2 linked regions of the Drosophila melanogaster genome follow. The protein of the gene in region 2 interacts with the protein of the main gene of each other region in a pairwise test. Each region holds a gene or a part of one and is shown on either strand. Other genes may lie near its edges.

The links.
Region 1: the proteins of Indy (region 2) and CG10559 interact in a two-hybrid assay, tested with the Drosophila melanogaster proteins (one large-scale study listed by BioGRID).

Annotation. Positions count from the first base shown.
Region 1 is NT_033777.3:25,313,994-25,317,684, forward strand, and holds CG10559 (uncharacterized protein), read right to left. Parts: upstream 2,124-3,691; 5' UTR 2,112-2,123; coding exon 1,922-2,111; intron 1,866-1,921; coding exon 1,375-1,865; intron 1,308-1,374; coding exon 935-1,307; intron 870-934; coding exon 676-869; 3' UTR 501-675; downstream 1-500. Other genes in the region: CG10553 (uncharacterized protein), read right to left, coding at 2,628-2,812, 2,872-3,238, 3,300-3,691.
Region 2 is NT_037436.4:18,843,218-18,847,826, forward strand, and holds the start of Indy (I'm not dead yet), read right to left. Parts: upstream 3,051-4,609; 5' UTR 2,843-3,050; coding exon 2,819-2,842; intron 1-2,818. UniProt on the Drosophila melanogaster protein: Cation-independent electroneutral transporter (not associated with membrane depolarization) of a variety of tricarboxylic and dicarboxylic acid-cycle intermediates. There is also small, but detectable, transport of monocarboxylics.

The DNA of each region.
Region 1 (3,691 bases), on a different chromosome or scaffold from region 2:
AGCGTGCCCGAGCGAGAGGTGTGTGATATATGATATAGAGACGCAAACACCGTCAATTGTTTGATTGATAACGAAAACAGTTTCTTGTTCCCGCTCCTGATTCGACTTCCATATCGGGATCGGGCACCCGAGTTCCTCTTTGCGCTCGCCATTCGCTCTAATTATTTCGTGATTCCTCATTAATTGGTGTTTTTGGGCGTGACATGTGATGGGTAGATAGACAGTTCACCATCGGTTTCCGCACGAGCACCACGCACTCAATAAACAATTATTTGAATATTATTAATCCTACAAAATGCTGGTCTATATGGGTACCAAACGGCATTTTGATTATCTTTGATTGTGCTTTAATGGGGCAGTTATGTTTTGTTTTATTATTAGGCCTGGCTAGTACAAAGCGGCTAGAAGTTAAATATATTTTCACATACTCATCATTTAAAAACAAAAGTGTGCTTATGAGATTATGTTTACCATCCGTCTAATGAGAAACTTCTATACTTCACTGAATAATCATTGCTCAGTTACAAGCATATTTTATTCTTAAAATTCGTGCATTAGTATTTTATTGAAAGCAGTACATTTTATATGTCATGGTATTACAAATTTTCTTTCCCAGAGAACGTTAGGAATCACTTTAGCAATAGTATTCTTTATATATATATAATGTATAGCGAACTAGCACTGGAAGGCCCCTCGATTGTTCAACCATTTGAGAATGGCGCTAACGTGCTTCTTATATCGGGCATTGGAGTACATAGCCAACTTTAGACCATCGCCATTATCCGTCTCGGTGACGAAATCGGTCAGATTTGCATCTTCAGTCCGATCGAGCAGCACTGGTGGGCAGAGAATAAAAGCAATGTGATACCCTACGATTGGAAAAGAAATCAGAACTTGGTTATCTACAGCTTTGCAGAGCGAGGTTTCCACTTACCAACTCGTCCATATTTCAATAGCTGAGTATGGAGGAACCCCAACGTGGGGGTTTTTGCTTCGGGGTAGTTCAGCATTCTCAAGTGCTCGACCAGGTGATCGTGGTAGTACTTGATGAAGTAATCGAACTGACTCAATTGGATTTCGAATTTCGTCGAGCCCAGGAGGAAATAGATCAGATCATATGCCACGCTCGTGACCTTGGGCAGTTGGAGATCCACGAAATATGTCTCGATCGGTTCGGGCGACTCGTCCTCGTACTTAAACATGATGTTGCTGGTCCAGCAATCTCCATGATTCAGAGCATTGAAGTCCTGCGGATCGGGCGTGTTCATAGCATACATAAGGTCGACGATTTTAGGTTGCATCTTGTGCTGTACAAATAGATTATTTTGTGATGAACCGTGCAACCAATTGGTGCATATAGCTAAAGAAACATACAACCGCCGCACTGTACTCCTCGTAACCCTCGTAGAGTGGCAGGCACTTGAGGAAATACTTGCCCAAGGTTTCAGCCACCTGTTCGATGCTCTCCTTCATGGTATCGGCGTACGTGGGTTGCAAGTAGTTCTGGGGGTACGGACCCTTGAGATGGATCCTGGTGGCCGATACCGCATGCCACTGGGCCATCTTCTTTAGAACACACTTGGTGTGAACCATGTCTAGGCCCTCCAGGCGATCGACGTTCCTGAAACCCAAAGGACCCAGATCCTGCAGAAGTACGTAATCATCGGGCGCGTCGATTTCATAAGCCTTGGCCCCAAACTTGACCTCCACGCCCACATCCTTGTACATCTGTTCCAGCTCGGGAATCACCTGAATGAACACATCCCTCTCCACAGCAAACATGTTGTTCTTCCTCAGAATCTCGCGATACATCTCGAAATCATAGGGAGTCTTCAGCATATAGCTCACATTTTCGATTGTGTGATCTGATGATGGAAATTTCTGCTTGACTTTCCATTGTTCACCTGTGACTCACACTCACCCTGCAGTTCGACTTCAAGCTTGAGGCGCAGCATAATTGTGGAGTAGTTTTCTCCCGGCTTGAGCCCGGCTTCCGGCTTGAAACTTTTGATTCCGGCATAATTGCCGCCGTAACGTTTACTTAGCAATTCTTCGAATAGATTTGCTCTCAGCCAGGTGGGCATAGGCGCTGTTCCTGTCTCAGCCGTCATTCTAAGCAAACTAAGAGTTTATTTGCCGGCTGGTCCCGTACAAACATGTGAGCAAAACTTTTTTTCTCTGTATCTTTGTTTGCTACCAAAACAAATGCCAATACGAAAGCTCCAAAAGCTTGTCGGAAAACAAAGAGAGTGCTGGATATGGAGAGTTCTCAAAACAACTTGTTTTCAAAGTCTCGAGTGATACATACATATAGACCAAAACAAACGTGGGGGGATGCATTTATACCCATATAGAAGCTTGTCTGTCATATAAGTGTAAGTATTTAAAGACAATAAAAATAATTGTATGACCATAAAAAAAAATGCTTATAACTATACTTATAGTTATATTTACCTATATGTAAACTCCGGAACAAGTTTTTTATTAACCACAATGTTTGTTAAACACTAGTTAGGTCTTTATTAGATATTACACAATATGCTACTTCTACTATACTGTATATATAAACCTTGAGTGTAATTTTTTCGTTATACGCCATACGATTTAATATTGTGCATTCTAAGTATCTATTCCATAGCTCCGCGATGCTGAAGCCATGGCAATAGAACCTCCATATGTTTGCGAAATCTGGGATTAATGTATAGCGAGTTCTTAAAGCTACAGTCGTCATCACCAAGAACCTTATCAAAATCGGCTCCGTCCACGGGATCCAGGAGGACATATGCCAATATAGTTGCGGTGCAGATGAACGCTGAAATGTTTTTTTTTATAAGATCTGAACTAATGATTAAGTAACGATTGAAAACTTACACCATCCACTGTATTTGTTGAGAGCGTCGTTAATTCTTCTTAAAGTGGGAAGAGTTTTCGAATATCCAAGCAATTTCAGATGCTTTACCAATTCGGAGTGGTAAAACCATATGAAGTAATCAAACTTTGATGTTTTTATGTCCAAGCTTGTAGAGGACAAAAGAAAGTAGTATAGATCCTGGGTCACTGATCCCCACTTAGGGACTTGCAGATCGACAAAGTAGGTATCCTGTATCTCGCCTTTCGTATTGTACTGGGACATAATGTTGTTGGCCCAACCATCGCCATGGTTTAACGCAATAAATTCATCAGGACTCGGATTGTTGAGGCTCTCCACAATTTCGAATGTCTTGCCGGAGACAATGCGCTGTAATTAATGATAAGATAGAAGACTTGAAGATACGAATATCAAAAGATAAATTACCCACCAGATCATTTAGATAAGTTTCGTAACCCTTGCACAGATGGACGTTATCCAGAAAAACTTTTATGCTCCGATTAATAAAGGCATCTACGATTTCCTCGTTCCTTAAAAAACCCTTTGTGTACTTCTCCTGATAAGGACCCTTTGTTTCTACGCGAACGGCAGAGGCCGCATGCCATTGGGCAAATTTCTTGAGAACACATTCGGTGTGAGCCTGGTCCATGCCTTCGAGGCGATCTATGTTCCCGAATCCACGTGGCCGAAGATCCTCCAGCAGGACGTAGTAGTCGCTGGCCTCTATGTCGTAGAGTTCAGCTCCAAATTTGACCTCCAATCCCACATCGCGATACAGTTGCTCCAGCTCGGGCACTACTTCCACATACATTCCTCGCTCCA
Region 2 (4,609 bases):
GGGTGGTGAAATAAATTCTATTTTTAGAATTCCAACTTCAAATTCAAATAGGTGTTGTCAAGGACTGAACATGCAATGTACTAGGAAAATAGATTGTTACGAAAGTAACACTGACTAAAAAAAATATATAATATTTCGCTTAGATACAATTATAACAGAATTAGAGAAAAAAACAGTTTTACCACGGCGGATTTGTAGGCTTCTATGACATAGAAATAATTGCAGACCAACACACTTTGTAAAAATCAATACGAACAAATTTCAAAGTCGCATAGGAAATGGCCATAAATTGTTGATTGGATCGATTCAATTGAGAACGAGGACGATTCGGTTAGGGAACCTACGTGCATCGAACATTCGGGAATCAATACGACAACTTTAAGAAACTTGCCAGAACAAATTTCACTCATATTAAATTTCGCCAGAGAGGAGATAATTGTATCAGATTTATTTCAGAGGCGCCGTGCTTGACAACACATTATTTTCTTTGATCTTGCTGTTTAAGCAAGAAAATGCTATATGAATCATAAATGTATCTTATGTGTGTAGAAACATATGTGGAAAGTTTTTTTTTCGCAGCAAGTTGATCAAGTGAGATCATTTTATTGCATTGAGCTGTAATTTAATTGAACCGAACGGAAGGCGACAATGAAATGCAACGAATAAATTAGTGTACACGAAGTTAAGTAAAATATATGTACATATGTATGTAGAAGAAACCGACCCACTAAATGTGTGCTAACAACATACATACTTAAATCGTAAGAAATGTACTGCAAATAAGGTAAATACCCTTTATTATTGGTAAGCAGTGTTCTTGAACAACTCGCACTACATTTTATTGAAACAGTTGTTAGTTATTTGTAATTACTGGCAATTAACTTACAAAAGGGCTAAGTTATTCAAGTGCTTTGTTGTGAAAATTCCCTACCTGCTATTATTAAGACCATCGTAAGAATTCAGGATTTCAAGCCGTTTCCAATCGACTTCGATCAGCAATTTGTTGGCCACTCAAACGAGAAGCGTGCAAGTTGAAGTTGAAACATTAAACAGATCTTCTCTAGAGGCTCTCACTTAGGAAACCCCCTGTGCTCGAAAAGCAAAACCAGTTTAGCACCGGTCAATAAATTTCAGCTCAAGATTTTTGCAACTTGTTTTTTTGTTCGCCAAACAAAACAAACCGAAAACCAAGGCTCAGAGATTGAGTTTGACCCACATTTAATCACTTTGAAACACAATTAAATAAATAATATAGAATAGTCGGAATATCAAATAAGAATCATATTCATTGGTCCCATTAGGTAATGCCGCAAAATAAATCCCCATGCTAAGTTCAGACACATTTTGCGCGTATTATACGAAAGAATATATCGAAATAAACATTTCAGATCTGCGTCTGCAATTGTTTTTCCTTTTGCGTCATTCCATGTCACGTGTGGGGGCGGGGCCCACAAAAAAAGATGTATTTTCTTCAAGGTAATATGGAGATTATAAGCCAAAATGTGAGTAAACATTTGTTCGAGAGCCAAAGTGCTAGGCGATTCTAAAAATATACGTAAAGTACTTTGAATTCTAATGCAGACATTCATCTGCTTTTGGAATTTGAACTTCAAATGCATAGTACTCAAATGATCGTTGGACTCTCTGTTTTGAAAAATGGGGTGACATTTGTGAAACAAAACGCATAATGAATTTATCAGCTTTATCTAGTTCCATTTCATTCATTACTGAAACAGGGTTTTACTATTTTACGCTGGGTCTATTAATCAGATAGAGGTGCCAACAATAAATAGTGAATAACAATAATTATAATATCTATAAATCTACAACGAAATTCCTCGCCTGATCATTTCAAGCAGCTTCTGTCTAAATATTCTCTGCACTTTCTAGGTTCCATAAAGTCTGTTTGCAATCCTCGCGCTTCTGGAAATTCCAGAATCAACGTTATCACACGTTTATAACTCTGCTCTTCAATAAAAAGACGAATTGTGACGGATTCTTAAAAAAGTTAAGCGCTTTTAAGCCTTTCCACTAATTGCCTTGAGAAACCTGGGGCATGCTAATTATTTTGCTGAATCTGAATAATTTTGTACATATTGTTATCTTTCGGTGTCGTCATTCAGTTTTTCGGTCAGGTGGTTGTCCACACACGAGAGAGATAATGCATACATATAATACATATAATACATATGGGGAGAATGTGGGGGAAGAAAGCGGTGTCACTTCCGAAGATTTGCACAAAAGTGCGCTGCTTCAGTTAGATAACAGATGGGGAAATGGAGATATCATACCAGCAGAATAATAAAAAACTGGTCATGGGTTGTTAAGTGGGTGTGTAAACAGTATGACGACACTTTATAGATTGAGCACTCAAACAAGCTGCTCAATAAGAGAGCAAAATGATTGGAAGTGTTTTTATATAAGTACTTATTTTCTAGGGAGTGGAATATATCTCCAAAGTCGGGAACAGAAGCACTTCGGCTAAGGAGCACAATAGCAGCACATGTGATCTCAAAATCATTTTAAAATTGATAAAACACTTGGTTTTGGACTTTGTTTACATAACACTCTCTTACCTAACCCGATTGCCACGCGCTACTCAAACTCGAAACCAGGTTTTCAGTCGGATCTTAACAGTTCGTCGCGAAAAGTCCTAGGGGCTTGCCGGGCATTAAGGCAGGTTCTCAAGGTCAACGAAAAGCAATTAACCGGAAAAGACGAAATGCCGCCACGTTCCCAAATTTCTAGCTGCAAACCACTTATCACTAATCACCTGCCTAATCACAAGTAATTACCGCTTTCTCAAAATCAAACTTACCATTTTTGTAGTTTCGGTCGCCATGGTTGGGGATCTATATGGTATAGATACTATTGGTATATCTGAAGAATTGATCACGCCGTTTCTCTTTCAGCACAACCGTAAGCGATTATTTCATAATTTCCACCACCGCGCCGAAAAATAACATATATATATATATATATTCGTTGGCTAGACCACTTTTTATGAATATGTTGCTTTGCGTTCGACGACTAATATGCGAATGCTACCAAAACTCAAAACCAAACCCAAACGATTTTCTTTCGCATTCTCCTCTCTCTCTCTCTCTCACTCGCTCTCTCTCTCTTTTAAGCCCTGGACATGGAAAATATCTGATAAGTTGTCGTTGTCTCTGTGGGCAAATACAAATACTTTAATACGCTAAGAGACACATTTAAACTTGTTTTTGCTGTGCATGCTTCTTTGTAGGGGCGTATTTACTATATTCTACACAGGTATATCTACATATCGTTCGTACACTTAAAGTATTTTTTACCTAGTTGACCTTTATGGTAAATTAAAATATTCGGAAGGGTTACTTTAATATTTTTATATAAATATTTTTAAAAGTGCTCTTTATTTAAGCCATGTTAATACTTTGATACTTTGTAATTTTAACAGGCAGTCAAAAACCCTTTTCAAACAATTTTTGGTATACTCCGCATGTAATTGAAATTTATTTTACGTTTGTCAAATGTAGAACAACGCGATATATACATACTCTGGCCTTGAAATTTAATTAAATGTTGTTTGAATATGCTTTGTAGTTCCTATAGTCTCTTTGACTCACCGTGCAAATTGCTAATGCATTTTTCGAGACCGGTGTAACTTGGCATTTCATTAATTTAGGATTATGTTGTCGATACAGACTGTTCTATTTAGCATAAGTCAGCGACTCATGCCCATGTTGATGAATTTTAATATGTGAGTATGAAAAGCCTTTTCCAAAGACTCAAAACGGAACACTCAGCTGGCAAAGGGTGTATGTTGATGTTCCTTCAGCGTTTTGTGGTTGTCTGAAATTAAATTTCTTTTTATATCAAAGTGCAAAAATAGCTTAAAAAGTCGATCTTACCTGTCATTTTCACTGATGAGAAGTGGGTTCCGGTGATCTGCCAGGACCAGGAGATATACTGAGTCTGGCTATAAAATATATGATATAATTCAAAACGACCCCAGCATTACTCCGTATGGAAGTTAAAGAATGCAGTTTTAAGTAACGAAAAATAGCCACCACACATTTAGAAATGTTTTGATTTATTTTATATTGTTATCTTTATTGCCACTATGTTTCTATATTTCCAACGAATTTTAAATGTCTTATATTATAGGAACTCGAGCTCCTCTAGTTTTGAATGTCTGTCTTACTTTTCCTTTTTTCACTCCTCTCTTCAGGATTTGAATAAATTATGATGGTCTTCCTAATAAAAATCCATAAGTTGAAAAATTTTAATGTTTTCAAATATAAAGAATACAAACTGACTTTAAAGAAGATACAGTCTTATTGAAAAAAAATTAAGTTGCCTTACTTTTCTCTTGCTCTTACTTTCTCACTTCTCTGATCACTTCCGATCGAAATTTTCGATGGCATAAAGCGTGTTTATGCTAGATATTTTTTTTGCACGCCGTGGTACCTGAAGAAATACATTCTGAGTGCATGAATCATGTGTCTAAACTCAAATCTTTACCTAAACTATCACTGTTAATTTGTGATTAATTCTTGGCAGAATCAGGATCAATTGTAATGGGGAAAACGAAATCTTTCATTTTTTTCCGCATTCCTAGTCTGAT